3 linked regions of the Daphnia pulex genome follow. Each later gene encodes a partner of the first gene's protein in a complex. Links are inferred from orthologs where the notes say so. Each region holds a gene or a part of one and is shown on either strand. Other genes may lie near its edges.

The links.
Region 2: eukaryotic translation initiation factor 3 subunit B-like (region 1) and eukaryotic translation initiation factor 3 subunit J-like share a complex: the UniProt entries of both Drosophila melanogaster proteins name them as parts of the eukaryotic translation initiation factor 3 (eIF-3) complex. The link is inferred for Daphnia pulex from reciprocal best matches to the Drosophila melanogaster genes eIF3b and eIF3j.
Region 3: eukaryotic translation initiation factor 3 subunit B-like (region 1) and eukaryotic translation initiation factor 3 subunit L-like share a complex: the UniProt entries of both Drosophila melanogaster proteins name them as parts of the eukaryotic translation initiation factor 3 (eIF-3) complex. The link is inferred for Daphnia pulex from reciprocal best matches to the Drosophila melanogaster genes eIF3b and eIF3l.

What each region holds. Positions count from the first base shown.
Region 1 is NC_060026.1:9,961,863-9,967,971, forward strand, and holds eukaryotic translation initiation factor 3 subunit B-like, read right to left. Parts: upstream 4,234-6,109; 5' UTR 4,109-4,233; coding exon 3,976-4,108; intron 3,898-3,975; coding exon 3,702-3,897; intron 3,637-3,701; coding exon 3,330-3,636; intron 3,249-3,329; coding exon 2,853-3,248; intron 2,786-2,852; coding exon 2,538-2,785; intron 2,477-2,537; coding exon 2,232-2,476; intron 2,171-2,231; coding exon 2,001-2,170; intron 1,940-2,000; coding exon 1,736-1,939; intron 1,662-1,735; coding exon 1,553-1,661; intron 1,489-1,552; coding exon 1,391-1,488; 3' UTR 1,127-1,390; downstream 1-1,126. Other genes in the region: DNA-dependent protein kinase catalytic subunit-like, read left to right, coding at 4,816-4,924, 4,994-5,172, 5,243-5,432, 5,552-5,664, 5,735-5,915, 5,991-6,109. UniProt on the Drosophila melanogaster protein: RNA-binding component of the eukaryotic translation initiation factor 3 (eIF-3) complex, which is involved in protein synthesis of a specialized repertoire of mRNAs and, together with other initiation factors, stimulates binding of mRNA and methionyl-tRNAi to the 40S ribosome.
Region 2 is NC_060019.1:7,842,386-7,847,764, forward strand, and holds eukaryotic translation initiation factor 3 subunit J-like, read right to left. Parts: upstream 2,968-5,379; 5' UTR 2,903-2,967; coding exon 2,881-2,902; intron 2,748-2,880; coding exon 2,653-2,747; intron 2,409-2,652; coding exon 2,349-2,408; intron 2,286-2,348; coding exon 2,093-2,285; intron 2,005-2,092; coding exon 1,834-2,004; intron 1,771-1,833; coding exon 1,580-1,770; 3' UTR 1,506-1,579; downstream 1-1,505. Other genes in the region: coiled-coil domain-containing protein 39-like, read right to left, coding at 1-155, 220-366, 679-798, 870-944; secretory carrier-associated membrane protein 2-like, read left to right, coding at 3,309-3,365, 3,535-3,642, 3,702-3,803, 3,864-3,945, 4,012-4,140, 4,230-4,386, 4,481-4,582, 4,648-4,694 and 2 more. UniProt on the Drosophila melanogaster protein: Component of the eukaryotic translation initiation factor 3 (eIF-3) complex, which is involved in protein synthesis of a specialized repertoire of mRNAs and, together with other initiation factors, stimulates binding of mRNA and methionyl-tRNAi to the 40S ribosome.
Region 3 is NC_060018.1:1,451,586-1,457,795, forward strand, and holds eukaryotic translation initiation factor 3 subunit L-like, read right to left. Parts: upstream 3,806-6,210; 5' UTR 3,660-3,805; coding exon 3,636-3,659; intron 3,575-3,635; coding exon 3,375-3,574; intron 3,308-3,374; coding exon 3,096-3,307; intron 3,035-3,095; coding exon 2,915-3,034; intron 2,853-2,914; coding exon 2,743-2,852; intron 2,685-2,742; coding exon 2,514-2,684; intron 2,451-2,513; coding exon 2,280-2,450; intron 2,219-2,279; coding exon 2,072-2,218; intron 2,009-2,071; coding exon 1,845-2,008; intron 1,785-1,844; coding exon 1,616-1,784; intron 1,552-1,615; coding exon 1,417-1,551; 3' UTR 1,334-1,416; downstream 1-1,333. Other genes in the region: voltage-dependent calcium channel subunit alpha-2/delta-3-like, read left to right, coding at 1-166, 237-335; tubulin beta chain, read left to right, coding at 5,103-5,159, 5,849-6,184. UniProt on the Drosophila melanogaster protein: Component of the eukaryotic translation initiation factor 3 (eIF-3) complex, which is involved in protein synthesis of a specialized repertoire of mRNAs and, together with other initiation factors, stimulates binding of mRNA and methionyl-tRNAi to the 40S ribosome.

The DNA.
Region 1 (6,109 bases):
AAATAGTTAGTTGCTGGTCAATTCGTTTAAAGGTCACAAAGAACCCCTCGAAGCCCCGTTCTGAGAACTCCGGCTCGACCTTCGGGCAAGTAAGGGGGTGACAGAGGGTGACTCACTATGTCGTGCGTTTATAGCGTGTTTAACAACCTGTTTAAATCCTTACTTTGAATATAATGATATAATATAAATAATAACACTGAGCATATAGAGCAAGACATTGAAATGGTTAACAAGAAATATCACCCTGAATTGAAATGTTTATAAATTCTACTTTATTCCTGCTGCAAGACACTTAACTATATTAACAATTTGAATTTTAAGCTGATTCAATGTTGGACATTGTACTCTAGCTAAGTTAACGATAACGAAATAAAAGTTCCTTCTATACACTGACTATTTTTATTTATTAGTGAGATTCAAATATATTTGATTGTTATAAATACATTTTATTTGAATTTCCAAATAATTCAAATCTAAACCATTCAAATTTCAAAACACAGAAACAGAATGCCATCGGTCGCCAAATGAAAGTACTACATATTTCCTTTCCGGAGTGCAATAGCCACTTTTGACGCTAGAGGACTCCGGACTCCGGAGTGCAATAGCCACTTTTGACACTAGAGCGCTCCGGACTCCGGAGTGCAATAGATTTTACCATTACCATGTCTGACAAAACTGATCGAAATGAAAACTTCGCCTTCTTCTTCACACCACTTCACACCCAACTTCGTGTCATAATGTGAGACAACGTTGCCGCACGCACCAGAAAAAAATGTAGTAGTAAAAATAATATTTTTGTTTTTCCAATTTTCCAATCCATTCCAGTTTCCAACATTCTATAAATCCGTCATTTCCTTCAGACTTCAATTCCATTTCCCACTATAACCCATAAATTCCGAAATGCTAACTAATTCAAGCCATGGAAAATTTAAGTACTTCCAGTCTTTCATTACTCTGCTGTCAAAATGATCGAACTCCATGTTTCGATTACAGTACCCTCGGGCACTATAAGAAAGAGTATATCTCTGTTAAGAGTTTAAGACTAACATTATAGAAAAATTTGCAGACTTATTGATCAACGAATGTTAACGGTAAATTTTTCCCAAACAGAAACATGTACAATATATTCCTTTTTACTTCTCGTTCAACTTCAGTTGCGACGAGGCAATCAAAATGTATTTTTGATAATCTAAAGGGTACATGATAGTTGAAACCAAAGAGAGACGCAAACAGCCATAACCAATCGATGAGACACACAATTATATTTGTCTTCATTTTCTGATGTTGGATTTGTCGGATATTAATATCTGACAAAAACCTCGAGATGTGCTGCCTTTCACTGAATAAGCAGCACGCCTCAAGATGTGGTGATTGTTTACAGTCTTGGCAATTACTCGTCGATGAATGTCGTCTCCTCTTTAATGAAAAACTCGACTGTCTCCTCTTCTAATTCCCCTCCACGGCCTTCAGTTTCATCCGTATCCACGTCTGTGAATTCATTTGTGAGTTAAATCCTGATAAGCTTACTTATTAACTAGGTTTAAGAACTTACTGTTGCGCAATTCGATACGACGGCGACGTTGAGCGTCATAGTCCTCTTGCTTCTGCTTACGCAAGTCTTCATATTCTTGCATCAGTTTGCGGCGTTTTTCTACCAATTCCTGGGTGAAGTTTGAAAATGTCAGATTTTTAGAAAATACTTTCGCCAAAAATTACACATTCAAAAAATATTTACTTTGGAAGCTTTAGTCATTTTCAATCGATCCTTCACTTCGAATTGGGCACTAAATTTCTTCAAAGACTTCTTAATGTCCTTTATTTGTTGGGCTGGAAGTAATGAAGGTGGTCGAGGTCTCCATTGCAGCTGACAGAATTTGTCTAGTGCTACGCGTTTGAGAATGCGTCCTTGGAAGGACCACAACCAGTAGGCATTATCGACCTGTCAAAGTACAAGAGATCAAACATTGTCAAAAATGAATACATTGCTTGATTTTTGTTACCTTGTGACCCCACCAGGAAACAGCAGTTGCGACATACCGACCGGTTGGATCCCACTCCACATCAGTAGCCATGAAGTGTTCGCCCGTATTCATGACGGTAAAATCATGGGTGTCGACAAATTCCAATGTGCCAGACATGGCACGTAGGCCGGCTAACACAATGAACTGGCCTGTTCGATAAAGTATAGTAAGGATTTTAGAATTTTAACATTAAATTTAATGTTTTCTTACCAGAAGGGGCCCAGTACAACTGGTTGCAAGGTTTACGTTCGTATTTTTTAACCATCGTAGGCGTTTGTCCAGTTTTAACTTCGAAGAAAGAAACAGAAGTACTCGGTGGCTCACCGTGGATGACGGCAAACTTAGTACCAACTGGCTCCCACGCAAAAGCTTGAATGGTTTCCTTGATTTCTACCGAGTCGACTGGAATTTGTTTTTCTCGCATGTGGAAAACTTCCAAATTGTAGTAGATACCGCTATCAAAGGGGGGAAAATTAGCTTTTATATCTATTAATTGAAGGAGTGGCATCTCATTACCTGTATTTGATATCGGACTTATCTTTCCTTAATTTGGCATAGCGGTCGACTTTCACACACAAATAGTCACCTGATTTTTGCCAATACATTTTACAGTCGGCAACGCTAAACAAATTTTTGACTCGCACTTCATTGCGACTTGGCAACTCAAGAAGTGTGACGCGAGCAGGAGTATCTTTCTCCTCTCCGACCCAATAAGCAATCGTATTGTCTGTTGGGCTCCAGGCAAAATCTCGAATTCCTTGAACCTATCAAAATGTAAGAGTGCATGTTAGGAAATGGTTATTAGAAGATTTTGTAAATCGTGTACGTTACTTTGATCGACTTCTTGTCTAAAAGGCCAAATGATGGGGTTTCATAAACAGAAAGCATGTCGATTCCCATCCTAGCGAAATACTTGTCATCATGCGACCACTTAAAAATGGGCAGGGCTTGAGATTTATCGGCATTAAAAGCTCGTCGCTTAAGACCGCTCAACACGTCCCAAATGATGATGGCTTGTGGTTCATCAGTTGCTCTTGAATCAGCCAGTGGACTAAAAGATACTAAATACTTCTCACATGGTGAGAAGTCAATGAATTGCACTCCTGGATGACTGAAGCGCACAATTTGTTGAAACTTTTCACCACCCCAAAGAGCTATACCCTTTGCATGGAAAGTGGCTAGATAGGTGCCAAGAGGTGACCACCGCACTAGAGTCTCAGTCCATCTCTGTGAAGATAATTATTGGTCAGATAAAATTTTAATATGAAAAAAAAAAATAATAATAATAATAAAGGTGAAGTGACTCACAGGTCTTTCTTCCAGCAGAGAGGGTTCAGGTTGAGTGTTCAAATAAACAGCAACTTTGTCTCCCTGCTCATACACAACTGAGAATTGGTCACAAGCGTCTTGATCAAGAAGATAGTATTGAAGGCATCCTTGCTCCTTAAACGGCTGAGGAATTGGATTTTCCCACTTATCAAGAATGTCATTATATTTTTCGAAGTCAGTAAGTAAGTTCACAGTGAAGGTGTGATTTTTGTCGAACTTGTAACCATTAGTTCCTTTAAGAACTTCCAATGCTTCATTGGCATTTGAGTACTCTATGAAAACATGGCTTCAAAAGTATATTATGTTAAAATTGGGCTGACACAAAAGTTAAAAAAAAAACTAATAAATTACCCTTTAGTTGATCCATCAGCATTAAGAGGATAATATTCATTAGTTATTTTTCCAAACTTTTGGAATAGTTTTCTCAGGACATTTTGAAGTTTTTCTATCCTCTCAGTACCAACCTGAGGAACACCGTCAATAACAACAATTGATTCGACTCCGTCGGTTTCTTTCGGACGCTGCCTGATGAGGTCACCTATAAGATCTACATTGACAGTTAGCAAGATTCAATGCCGGCATGCTCAGGAAAGCCATATGGCAAAAGGTAAGTTACAAACGGTACCTTCTTCAGAAATATCGTCCTCATAACCTTCCGGATCATCGAAGTTGGGCTCGTCTTCTAATTCATCGTTTGGGTTAGAATCCGAGTCATCGTTATTTTGCTGAGCTCGATCATTTTCTTTTCGTCGAGCCATGATGAAAAACAAGCACTGCACACCGGACACGAGTCTTTAATGGCGGAAGCCTGTGCCAGATTTCAACAAATAATACTACCATCGAGAAGGCCAAGGCAACCACCATCCACCAATCAGGCAATCACCATTCACCAAACACCATAGGTAACTTGGTGACTAGCCTAGCCTGTCAGCTAGAACGGGATCTTCTGAAGGGAAAATAATTTAGATTTTTTATTATTATTATTTTTTCTTGATTTTTATTCGCATTATAATCATACATTGGATTTTTTTTTGTTTTCAGAAAATAGCCTACATTTATTCATTTCCAAAAAAGTTGAATCCTTATACCCATTTGAGGAATGAGTTGGTAATAATTTTTTTAAATATTTTTAAAGTAACGTAATGATATTTTAAAACCATGATAGCGAATATTTTACAAATATGTATTACGCCTAACTATCAGTCATGGCAAATATGCCTACGCAAAAGCACAATTCTAGCAGCCGAATCATCATAACCCGGGAGGGATGAAAACATCACTTAGGCCTATAACCTACGTGAGTTAACGTTGATCGCAAAATTTTGAAGAACCACTACAATTGAAAACTTGTCTTAACATTTAAATATGTATGATTAAAGTTTTAAAGTCGTAAAAATTGCGAATAATCGAGAAGAAGTTGGCCTTTTAAAAGTGTCCGGTTGTCGGTAACATCGAGGAATATAAAATGGACAGCGTATTGGAAGGTTATCTATTTCAGATGCATTCTGGAACGTGCAGCGATATGCTGGAGCAAATCAAGGATATTAAAGATGTTGTATCCAAAACCAAAGACAGTAGGTTTCAAATATTGGTCCCATCAAAAACATGTTAATCAATTCATTTACATTGTATTTTTTCTAAAGATTCTGTTGTCTCGGCTTTACTAAACAAAGAAATTGGATTAATTTCCTTGTTGTCCAAGTTCAGAGATTCTCAAAAGGATGACAACTTTGCAGAAATAATAAATTGTGCCCTGTCAATTTTGGGTGATTTACTGGAAAAATTTGGAGAATCCATGAGCAACCATTTAGTGGTTATTAAAGTATGGAAAATAATTAATATTACCTAGCTATGTGTAAAAACCTAATAGTATAACTTTCATTTACCTTAAGAATTTAGCATTGATGTACATGAACTCCAAAAATTCTAAGATACGAGGAGCTTGTTATTTTGTTCTTTGCCAAGTTGTTATTACTGCTCAAACTTCACCAACAGAAATATTAGAAGAACTGAATTTGCCAGCCCTTTCTAATATGCTTTTTGAAAAAATGGCTACATCTTCTGATGATAGTTCAAGCAAAGGTGATTAATTAAAAAGACTATTGTATAATTACCCTGTTTGTTATGCAGATTGTATTATTACTGTGTATGCATAGATATGTATTTCTATGGTTATTTATAATATTTATGTTTTACTTTAGCGAAAATGAATTTCCTAGTACTCCTAGGCAGACTGGCCCAGTACTTTCCTAGTACACTGAAGGAAAAGGCCAGTCGCATCATTAACCAACTCCTTTATGAACTTGAAAAGGAGGTAACTAAACATTAACGTAAATAATTACGTTCTGTAAAATCAAATAATTTTTCTTTTTCTTTCTTTAAAGGTGAAAAGGCAGCATGATTTCAAAGATAAACGTGTAGCAGGCTGTATTGAAGCTCTTACAGGATTTCTCCATTCATTTAATTCAATCGTTGACCAAAAATGTAGGGAAAAAATTCATAGTTACTTATTGATGCTTCTCACGAAATTTTTACTGGTCGATAAGAGAGTTCATACCAAAAAAGGTGGTTATATTAACATTTGGTTTTTCATTATTTTGCCTGAACTATTTATTTTTTGTTTTTGTTTTTTATGCACAGCCGCATTGAACATGCTGGAAGAACACGCATCTCTCTTCAATAACTTGCTGCTAAAGCAATACAAATCCTGGTTCGATAACTTGAAATCTTATGCTTTGCGCGAAAAAACAGATATTCTT
Region 2 (5,379 bases), on another chromosome or scaffold:
ATTGTCAAATTATCTTGGTGCGAATATTTATCCAAAATCGAGTGATCTTCCAATTGCGATTCAACCATTTTCTCCATGACAACCACAAATTTTTCTTCCTCCTCATACAACTGATTTAGTCTCTCCAAGTCGAGGTTTTGTTCCGCTAATTTTTTCTAGAAAATTATTTATTTTAGAAAGACTTGCCAAAGATATAAAATTAAATTGTTATGATGGAACCTTGTGAAAATCAACATTTTTTGTCATTTGTTGCAATTTTTGGTTGATCCGTTTAGTTTCTTGCTCTATGGTTCCGGTTTCGGTGCTCGCCAAATTTAGCGCTTCCCGTTCCTGGCGTACTTGATTGCGAATATTTTTTGCCAGAACCTTTGATTTAAAAATTTAATTTATTAATTAAAAGTTAAAATCCATGCTTTCTTCATCAAATCAATCAGCCCTGCATGAAGTATAAATATGATATCCATGGTTAATTGCCTCGTTAATAACGAGGTGATTAAGTGAGACTTGTCTATGCAGAAATTGCTTTTACGTCATGTCATCTTCTGACGCATTTTCAGACAACAGAACAACATTTAATGATACAAACTTTGAACACAAAACAAGCAGGAAAAATCTGTTTAGCAATATGAAAGTTGTTGGACCGTGAACCATGGCCATCATGAGCAGATCTCTACTTACATGTGTTTGTTGTGTGCTTTGTTCAAGCGTCGTGAGATCTTGTTCGGCAGTTTTAACAACATTTTCATTTTGATCGAGTTCCATTAGTAGCTGAGCGAGTTTATTTCGCTTGTCTCGGACCTGTGTACATTGATATACGATTTAATTGAAATCAATTCTGGATTTAAAATACGGGAAAACTTGTTGCTTACATTTTGTTGAAGCAGTCGGTTTCTTGCGTTTGCTAAAGGCAAAAACTCTGCTCCGTTAACTTCTTTTAGTTCCATTTTCTTGCTCAACTTGTGCTCTATCACTCCAGAAATTCATTAACGAACTTTCTCACAGTGAAACGCCATATAACGAGTTAGAAGTATCGACCAAACAACCACTTTTATGCCACTACTAGTCTGCTACTCAGCAGGAAACGCACGTGCTTCATTTATTGATTAGGCATGCAGCCGGCTGCCACGGCAACGATTTCCATTACATTTTAAAAACAAAACCCCCCTAATCCCCTCTCTTACGCCCACTGGGTATCAAATAAGGATTCACCAGTATACAAATTTGCGGGGTACTCAAAACTCAAATTTAAAAAAATAAATATTGAAAGTTATTTGCTTACTTTTGACAGTGTGTAGCATTCAATGGGACAAATACATCTAACTACATCTAACTTTACAACTGTCACCATCTCCTTTTTTGACGCTAAAAGTAGAAAACTGGAACGTCTAAGAAAATATGCAACTTAACTCTATATATTGAATTAGAATAATTAAGAGGGAGGTTTTAACTTTTAACAGAAATTCAATCTCAATATATCTTAAAACACTGAAAAAACTGACAAGAGCAAAATGGCAAAATCATACATTTATTTTACCAATAAACCTTTTCCCGCCAAAAACAAAAGAAAAACAATTGGACCCTACATGAAGTCGTCATAGTCTCCTCCTCCGAAATCATCACCGAAGTTGTCGACCATTCCTTTGTCCATTTTTAAAGCAACTTTTGTTTTTCCTTTCTTTCCACCTTTTGTCGCCGCCTTCACCATCTTGAGTTTTTCTTCGTGCAAGGATTTGGTAGTTAGACTAACTTTTCTAAGGACTTCGACTTCCACTATGTTGAAAAACTGGGATGTAGAAAAGTTTTTAGCAACCAACATTAGAAAATGTGACTTACATCCAATGCAAACATCTTTAATGAAGTCCTCTATAAAATCATTATAGCACGCTTTAGTTGACAATGACTGAAGTTTTTTCACCAAGTTGTTCTTGAATTCTGAGAATTCCTCTTTAGATGAAGGGTTTGCTTCATCTATGCTTCCCTCTGTAGGCAAACTACCAGTAATTCCTGGAAAATAAAAATAACATTGAGAACAAAATATAAAACAAATCATGCTTAGTGCAGGTCAGCAATACAGTTTCCTAAGACAACTTACCAAAGGTTTCCTTGGCCATTTCAAAATCTGATTCTTCAACTAGTTTTTGTCTCCGAAGCTTTTCTGCTATTCTCTCTTCAGGTGTCATGTTTGCTTCCTGCAATATTTTTCTGGCTTCAGCTTCTTCTCTGCTTTTCTTTTCTTTTTCGGCTATTTTTTCTTCTAATCTTTTACTTGACTTTTTTTTGGTAGCCTGAAAGTAACAAACACATTTTAAATTTTTTGGATACTTTTACGAGAGATCACATGTACTTACTGTGGCTGCTGCTTTGACTTCAGCAGGCTTATTTTCTGTTTCTTCATCTTCCCAGCTATCCTATCATTTATAAACAAGAAAAAATGATAATTTTGAAATCAATCACAACTTTATGTAAAACTCATTGAGCAATAAGAATTTTTTGGCAAAAGAAGACACATGGTAGTCAAGTGAAAGTTGTAAGAATTGGAGCAGAAATAGAAAGGTACTGAGAGAACTTTTTTTCACTACAAGCGCTACAAGGTTCTACCAAATTTGTAGATATACTTACTACTAATATCATCACAATTGAATTACAACTCACCTTGACAGGTTCATCTTCATCCTCACCTTCCCATTTATCTGAAATTATGGCAGTCGTAACTGGAACAGGGACAGAGGGTTCAAAATCTTCGGCATCTATAATCACCACAAAATCGTATTTGATTAGAGTATACGATTAAATGGAACTTTGATATGCACTATTGAGAATTTCATACAAAAAACAGGTGGAATTGAATAACTTAATATAGAAATAATTAAATAAAATCACCCCAATCCGCCTCGGCCTCCATCTTCAACGAAAAATCGTGAACACACTAGTGTCCATGGCAGTTGCCAAATGCTTTCACTTTTCTAATAATGTTAATATGTGCATTACAAAATATTAAATATAGAAACCTAACAATAATTAAATTTTGAAACTTTATTGCAAACCTTTTATTATGAATTATTTAATTTTTTTTACCTGAGATATCTCGTTAATCCCAGCGTTGCTTAGTCTAGTGTTTCTGTCTTCCAGAGGCGCTAGTGTTTGCCTGTTTCCGAACTGCTTTTCTCTGACATTACCTGTTATTTAGCAATTGATAGGAGTTTCTGTCTGTATTAGTTGAGTTGACGTTTCACGGTGACCGTCGAAACAAAAGTTACCGCAAATTGGAGTAACAAAGTGACCGAAGTTAAAAAAAGAAATATTTGATAATGTCTGGATTTGATCAGAATCCTTTTGCAGAACCGGCTGTTTTCAACCCGTTTGCGGTAGATTATTTATAATATGTATATTATACTTACTATTACCATACTAATACCTTGGTTGAAAACTGGTGATTCATGGAGTACTCGCCGCATACAATATGAAAGAAAACCTTTTGAAAAATCACCTTGTTTATTAGTTTAGTGGTAAAGTGGTTGTTTACTTTCACAATAGGATCCATCTGTCCAGCAAGCTGCAGGAAACAATGCTGCGAGAGCTCAGCAAGGTCTTGAAGAATACAACCCTTTTGATGGTAGTAATCAAACTACCAGAGTTTCAATGGTAAAACATAATTTTATCATGAAAGTGGGAAGTGTGTTTGATTTGTTACAAAATTTAAGGACCGTGTTGGTGGAGCCAATCCACCCCCAACAATTCAAGCTGCCCCAGTGATATCTCCAGGACCACAACAACAAGCAGCTATGTCAAATGCGGATTTTCAAGTATTAAAACTTAAAAAGAAAGAAGGAAATCTTTATTCATTATATTGCATGGTTTTATAGAGACGTCAAGAAGAACTAGAGAAGAAAGCTCAAGAATTGCAGAGGCGAGAAGAAGAATTAAAGAATAATGTACCATTCAACTGTAGGAGAGAACAAATTTAAATGAAACTTTACTTTTTAATTTCTGTTATTTACTTCTTCATTACAGCTCAGCGCAATAATTGGCCACCACTGCCTGACAAGTTTTGTGTCCAACCATGCTTCTATCAAGACATCAATGTGGAAATCCCACTTGAATTTCAAAAAATTGTCCGCATGTTATACTATATTTGGATGCGTAAGTTAAACATATCATAGATTTCTTGTTTAAGTTTATTTTTGTTATCAGAAACTTTTATTGATTTTGTTTTGTTTCTTTATTTTCAGTGCACACCCTCATGTATCTTCTAAATGTTTTGGGCTGCTTAGCCTTATTCATTCAAGTGGGAAGTGGTGCCATGTTTGGCTTGTCAATCCTATACTGCATCCTTTTCACACCAGCTTCTTATCTTTGCTGGTTTCGACCTGTCTACAAGGCATTCAGGTCCGCCCTCATATTTCTAAAATTATGGCTTAACTTCACTTTTTAGAAGGAATTCGTTTTGTTTTGTAAACGTGTGTTTTTTGTCGTGTTTTAGATCGGACAGCTCATTCAATTTCATGGTTTTTTTCGTCATCTACTTTGGCCAACTAATAGCAACCGTCATCCAAGCTATTGGCATACCTAATTTGGGAACATGGTAACTATGAGTCATGCGAATGTTGTGAATGTTTATTTATCCTTATTTATCCAATCTTTCAACAGCGGATTCATCACTGGATTATCTACAATTGGCGGGCGGACTAGTGGGGGTGAGTTCCTGGTACCAAGTACTGCTGAAGGTTATGATATTCTAATATTTTGTTTTGTTTGGATTTATCACCATTTCAGGAGATCTTGCTGTTGGAATTTTAGTCTTGCTTATCGGGTTGGGATTTGGAGTTGTCGCTTTGGGAGATTTTCTTCTCCTCGTCAGAGTAAGAAGTTTTTTCTTTAAAATCCCAGAATTGTTTGCGCAGTTCATCATAAAATATTTGCGTATCCCTTAAAGGTCAGCCGTTTGTACCGCAGCACGGGAGCTTCTTTCTCTAAAGCCCAGGCGGAGTTCACTTCTGGAGTAATGCGTAATGAGCACGTCCGTGGAGCCGCTGCTGACGTTGTCGGCTCAGCTGTTCGAGCTCAAATGAGTAACCCATCTGGTGGTACAGGACCTCGCTTCTAAGCGATTTCTATCACTTTTTTTTTCGAACGATAATTCCACCCTTTAATCATCGGGCTTTTCTCAAATCATCTTCTAGTTTAAACATTTACATGTATTACGAGGGGGGAAAAGAATCTTCAGAACACAACGTGTGAATCTCGTTATTCAAAGCTAATCGTTCTCTTGATTTATACATCTATATCAATCATTTGCGATGCAAACCCTTTGCTGTTTTTTATTTTTTAATCTTTGTAACGTTTGTTGTCTTTTCTTTTTCTTCTTGTTCGTCTTTTCTC
Region 3 (6,210 bases), on another chromosome or scaffold:
CTCGAATTTGCTACTACTAGTCATTGACACAACTTGCAGGTGTGAAATACAGAAGCAAAAGATTGAAATGGAGGAAGTCAAAATGAACGAGTCGTTACGCTGCGAACGACCTCAGGAAAGCTTGTACCGTCAGCGTCCCTCCGTCTGTCTCAGTTATCATCCAGAGGTAAGTGAGAATATTGCAGAGATGACTGGCAGCATAATATTCTTGTTTCTGCATTTTCTTATCGCCTTAGGAGGAGGAAATCAAACAGTGTGGTAAAGGAAATAATTTACTGCCGTCTCCCATTCTACTTACAGCAACCTTAATCTATTCAGTTTTAAAATGGATTTAATTTGATTTCACCGGTCCCGCATGTCTTGTTGCATCATTTTGATTGAGTGAATGGGTGATTCATAATTCTCGGGTCCTCAAAATTTTTATATTATTTGGCTAGTTTATTAGTCTCCCGATGTATGGTGGTCGACATGTATCAACAGCTCTTATTTATTTATGGATCTAAATTGATGACTTTAGTGTGCGTGTTGGTGATACCATGGGTTATGAATGTGCATAGTGTGAGCGACATTGGGCTTAAAAAAAAAGACGACTTCCCAACAAAGTATTCAGCTGGATAAGAAAACGTACTAAGCCTACTTCATACATATCAATTGTTATAAAATGTTCTGGTACGGAGCGTGCTTCTTCATCTGGCTGGTAAATGGTGCGTAATTGTTTGTCGTGAGCTCTATGGACTAATTGTGGTGGTGACTGACAAGCTTGTTATTTCTTAATTTTCAAATTGTTACAGTCCTGAAATGTTAAATTTATTTAAAACTCTCACATTGACGTTTGATATTCTAATTTCAACCAGCAGTAATCGAATGCTTTTTGTTTTGGAGAGGGGACATAAGGTCCTTTTCATGTGCCCGTTACTGCAAATACGATTCTTCTCGTTCCATCTGCCGTGGGTAATGCGTGTCATCCTTTTTGTTAGTGCTTTTTTTCATGAAAAAAAAACTCATATTCCCTACTGATGCTTTGACTGAAACTGAAAATTTTCAAATTGCCCTTGTGTGTTTGAATTCCCCTTGTTTGATTTTAGATAGCATTTTTTTTTTTTTACATTTCCTATGAGGATGCCAATGGTCTACATTTCTAGTAAGATCTTCGGTCCAATTATTTAAAAAATGTTCTCTAATAAAAATAATCTTATCATTTGAATACATTCAAAAATAAGAGAAACGTACATAACATCACTGGTGGCCTTACATTCATTTCATTTGACTTCCTTGTAACTTGTCGGACTTAAAGGTAAGAAAAAAATTCTCTTTAAAAAAAGTTAAAAATCACTAACTTCCTCCATGTTATGTATTTTGCCTTTGAAAAACCAATAAGATGTAAAACATATTTAAAGGAGGTAAAGCATCGGATTTTTAAACTTTTTGTGTCTTCAATACGCGGTTAATTTCCTCGAATTTATGGATTTGTCTAATGAAGTAATCACCATAGCGCCGAGCTACTTTCGTGTCAGCAATATGGATCATTCCGCCATCGATATAGAAGTCCACCTAATGCGAGCAAAAGCGTAAATAAGATACATTCCACTAGAACTACAATTCTAAGATATTTCACCTCAGAGCCTGATTGGAGTTCACCGTCCAATCCAGAGGTGCCTTTAGTCCAAACGACGTTCTTCATCTTATGTTTGAAGCATAGCAGATGGGTGCGGAAATCAGTATCGGGCATTTCCAAAAACGCAGCCATTTTGGCGACAGGCATAGTAGTGTACAAACGTAGATAACTAAACAGAAAATTTATGTTAATAATACTCGGACATTCAAATCTAATGTTGAACAAATACCTGCGAATCGTTGGCAAAGTAAGTTGCTGTTGTACTTCATCCATGAAAACTTTTGCCAACTGTTGAAATGGTTCACGGCGATGATCGGCAGGTGGTGCTTCGACAGGAGGTGGAACAGGAGACAAAAATTTCGGAGAAGCGAAAGCGAATGCATTTTCGAATTCCTAACATAATTGAACAAATTTAAATTGTTGCTTTAACTTTAAAAAATATCAACAGAAACTCACTTGAAGTTCTCCCTTTTGCATCCGCACGATGCGTTCGGCATGAGGTTTCTCTCGCAGGATCGCCTGTAGAGATTCGTCGATGCGCTGAGGATGAAGAACGAGGCACACCGACAGTAGAACGTACATTTTTTCGGTTTGTTTGTTGATCTATAAACACAAAAAAGGAGATTAAGATTTCAGTATTTCATTTCACTTAAATCTAATTGACCTGGTCATTTTGGTATGTTTTAGCCTGGTATAATGGCTTAGTGCGCTGGACGTAGAGTAGAATATGGGAAAACGTCCGAATAGCATCAGCATACCGCCTCATCATCAAATAAGCAAAACCAACATAATAGTAAGTTGAGATTTGGCAGGCAGGTACTCTGGAGTACAGAGTCTAAAATGAGATTGATGGATTACGTTTACAAGCAATGCAAATCATTTTTAATTTTGCGCTTACCTTTTTATTGAGTTCCATATTTTCAAGAACCTTAACAGCTTGATAGAAATCTCCTAATAATGAGTGGAGTCTCAGTAATCCAACAAGACTGAAGTAACCCAACATTTTATAAAGAGGTCGGCGGCCAAATTCTCCTGCTACGGTATCGGGATCATCACCTTTGGCGTATACCTACATATCGATTGTATTAATTTTAAATTACAACCAATAATGATTCTCTCCTTCTTACTTCCAATTGTTGGTTGATATTGGATTTGTCAACCAAAGAATACAACACATTCAATACAGAATGAATGTTCCACAAAGTTGGGTTGATTCTGATGAATTCAAGTTCTTCAGCTGTAAAAAAAAAAAAAAAATGGTGAGAAAAGAAAAGATGGAGCATAAGATGATGGGTGTACCTGATTTCTTATGAAGAGAACAACGAAAAAGAGCAAAAGACTGGAACTGGTAGACAAATTCATCAATTATTTCCCACAGCCATTGATGAGGAAGCTCCAAAACAACTGGACTTTTAGCACCTGTAGTAAAATGGTTTATGAAGGCTTTGGGCAAACATCTAAAAATTAGTGAAGTTAGTACTCAAAATATGGTTGAAAAGTTGACAGTAGTTGTAGTAAGACTCAAAACGTTGTTCAATTGTTGGTCCTCCTTGGATTCGTGCATAAATGTGGCGATAGTAAAGTTCCTTGTAGAGAATCAGAAACGGTTGATCATCATCCACTAATGGGGAAACTTCATCTGCATCAGGCCAAGGGGATGATTTGAAGTGCTCTTCAGTTAATTTTGGAAATCTAAATGGAGTAAAAAACAATGGATCAACAATTCAACTTTGTCTGACAGGCACTGTGGTGGGCTTACGTGTTCTCGTAGACATTCTGAATTTCATACAACTTTCCAGAGTTTACCATCTCTCGAAAATAAATAATGAATTTCTTGATCACATCCGGCATGCTATATTGAGCATATTGGGGAGCACTTCCATAGCTAGTGTATCGTTCATTTTCAGCATCAAGCCGTGGATCCCCGGTTGGCTCATAGGCATCGGCTTCATACTCGTACTACAAATGAAAAAGTTTTTGATGATAGGTACAGAACATGTTGTAATTATTGTACACTTACATCCTCAAATTCTTCGGCATACATCTTTTAGGTTTTTCAATACCGATAGTTATTAAATTTCAATTGAAAATTGCGGAAAATTGAGAAAAGTCCACGAGTAAGATTACTATTTCGATTACTAGTGGCTCTAGTGTCAAATAATAGTAGCTGCACAGCGTTGCCGCATGTACTCAACAATTTTCCAAAAGATCATCTGTCAAAAATTCGAATGTAAAAATCGATCGTCAAACTTATTTACTCCGGTTGAGATTAATTTACCTTAAACTTAACAGATTTCAATGCTAAACGGGACTGCCATTACAATTCTGTTTTTCTGTTTTATAGCAAGTATATCAAATCATGATCAAAAGTTGATCAGGAAGTAAATATTCAAAGAAAATGGTTACCAAAATTGTTTCAAATTTACGGATGAAGACATCAAGCACTCCAATAGCTGCATTCAGGCTGTGTTTCCCAGGAACCATAAAAACACTGCTGAGGTGGATTTGTTGCAGTTGCAGGATGGGTTGTCTAGACACATAAGTATTGATCGTGTCTGGCAGAGGTCTGCTACAACTGGGACCGAGTTTTTACGTTTCTCGCCGGCTCCGGCTCGTCCCCTGTCGCGTGATTCACCGGCATACATGTGTGTACTGCTGTCATGGTGATTATTTGCCATGTTTGGAATAAGTGTTTTGTGGTTTCATGTGACCATTATGCCTAATGCATTTAAGCAGGATTACATAAAACTATGCTGGAGTCAATGGTTAATAGTGCCGAACAGGTTTTATTACTTTGAAATCAACTCGAAAATCGCAAACCATGATGCCGTACAAACTGGTTTTTGAATTTATACGGTTCCCGGTTTTCTTTCCTTTTAGAGACGTAATTGGCAATATTTCAATCACATACCAACCACGGAAAAGGAATGAATTTTCAAAGCGTGTTATTTCTTACCATATTCGCCACACCGATGACAATAAGTGGGTTATCTTATCTTTAATCGAAACTTTATATTTAATTCTAATATTTTACTGAACTTAAATGGAAGCAGGCATTTTTTGAAGTTTAAGATTATAACGTTCAATAAAAGGAACTAGAGACAAACCAAAAACGTTGCCCTGCAAATATTTCTCTACTTATTTAGAATTTTGATTGGGTCATATCTCCGTTTTTTAATATTCAGCCAACTATATACAGAAACATATAAACTCTGCATCTCTAGGAGCAAAAAATAACCGAAACGCGCGGACGCAAATTTCGAATCTCCCAATAAGGATTTGGCTTTCATGTTTGATTTCGTGGACCAATGGCAATGCGCAACACAATCAAGCTCCGCCCTCTTGCACCCAAGGCTGTTCATGAGGTTATAAATGCCAGTCCCATTGCAAACGGAAATTCATATCCAGAGGATTCCAGCGCGAGGCACGTTGACCGTTAAACTTGAGAGTTTTTCTCTTTCAATTTCATTTCGAAAAATATTAGAAAATGCGTGAAATCGTTCATATTCAAGCTGGACAGTGTGGTAACCAGATTGGAGCCAAGGTAAATATTATATTTTCATTATTTTAGAATGATAAGATATTTGACATGGTTTGCTGCAGTGAAAGACCGGTGTGCAAGACACCTTTTTTATGCCCATTTGGCGCTAGTCCGCCATTTTTCTTTGTTGTCCGGCCCCTTTCATCTCAAGATGTTGCAAAAAAAAAAAGAGTAAATGTAATGTTGTTGATTTGATTGCATACTCCTTTCTCATGCAATCTTCTCGATTGTTCATGCCATCAATCTAAAGCTTCCAGGCTTGAATGGTGAACCGGTACCCGGCAAGATCACAAAAAGGCGAGTTCTAATTAGTTTTGTTTCGATGCACTTTGTTTTTTAAAAAACCGGATAGTGTAGTCGTGCCAAGTGGTGGGGTAAAAAAAAAATTGAGGCTAACGACCATAAACTTAAAAAGTAAATGTGAGCCTCCCCTCTAACCTTCAAATGTTATATCGCGCATCCATGTGGCAGATGTGAACCGAATTCGATTGGGCAATTGTATGTGAAACAACATCCCCTCCCCCGACATTTTCCAACCCCTCATTGTGACAGCGCCCTTACTGATGGGTTATCTAGCAGTTCCTCCCTAGGTGTAGTTAGATTTTATACTGTGTGTATAGCACTTAAAAACTCATTGAAATTGGGCAGGTTTTTCTAACTCTCCCTCTTTTTTTGTTTACCTTTTCCTGCAGTTTTGGGAAATCATTTCTGACGAGCATGGAATCCAACCTAATGGCACCTACCACGGCGAGTCTGAACTGCAACTGGAACGCATCAATGTCTACTATAATGAAGCAAGCGGAGGCAAATACGTTCCCCGTGCTGTTCTTGTGGATTTGGAGCCTGGCACCATGGATTCCGTTCGTTCGGGACCGTTTGGCCAGCTCTTCCGCCCTGACAATTTCGTCTTTGGCCAAAGTGGAGCCGGTAACAACTGGGCCAAAGGTCACTACACTGAAGGAGCTGAATTGGTCGACTCTGTTCTTGACGTTGTCCGCAAAGAAGCCGAGAGCTGCGATTGCCTTCAGGTAAATAACTCTTTTTAATTTGGAAT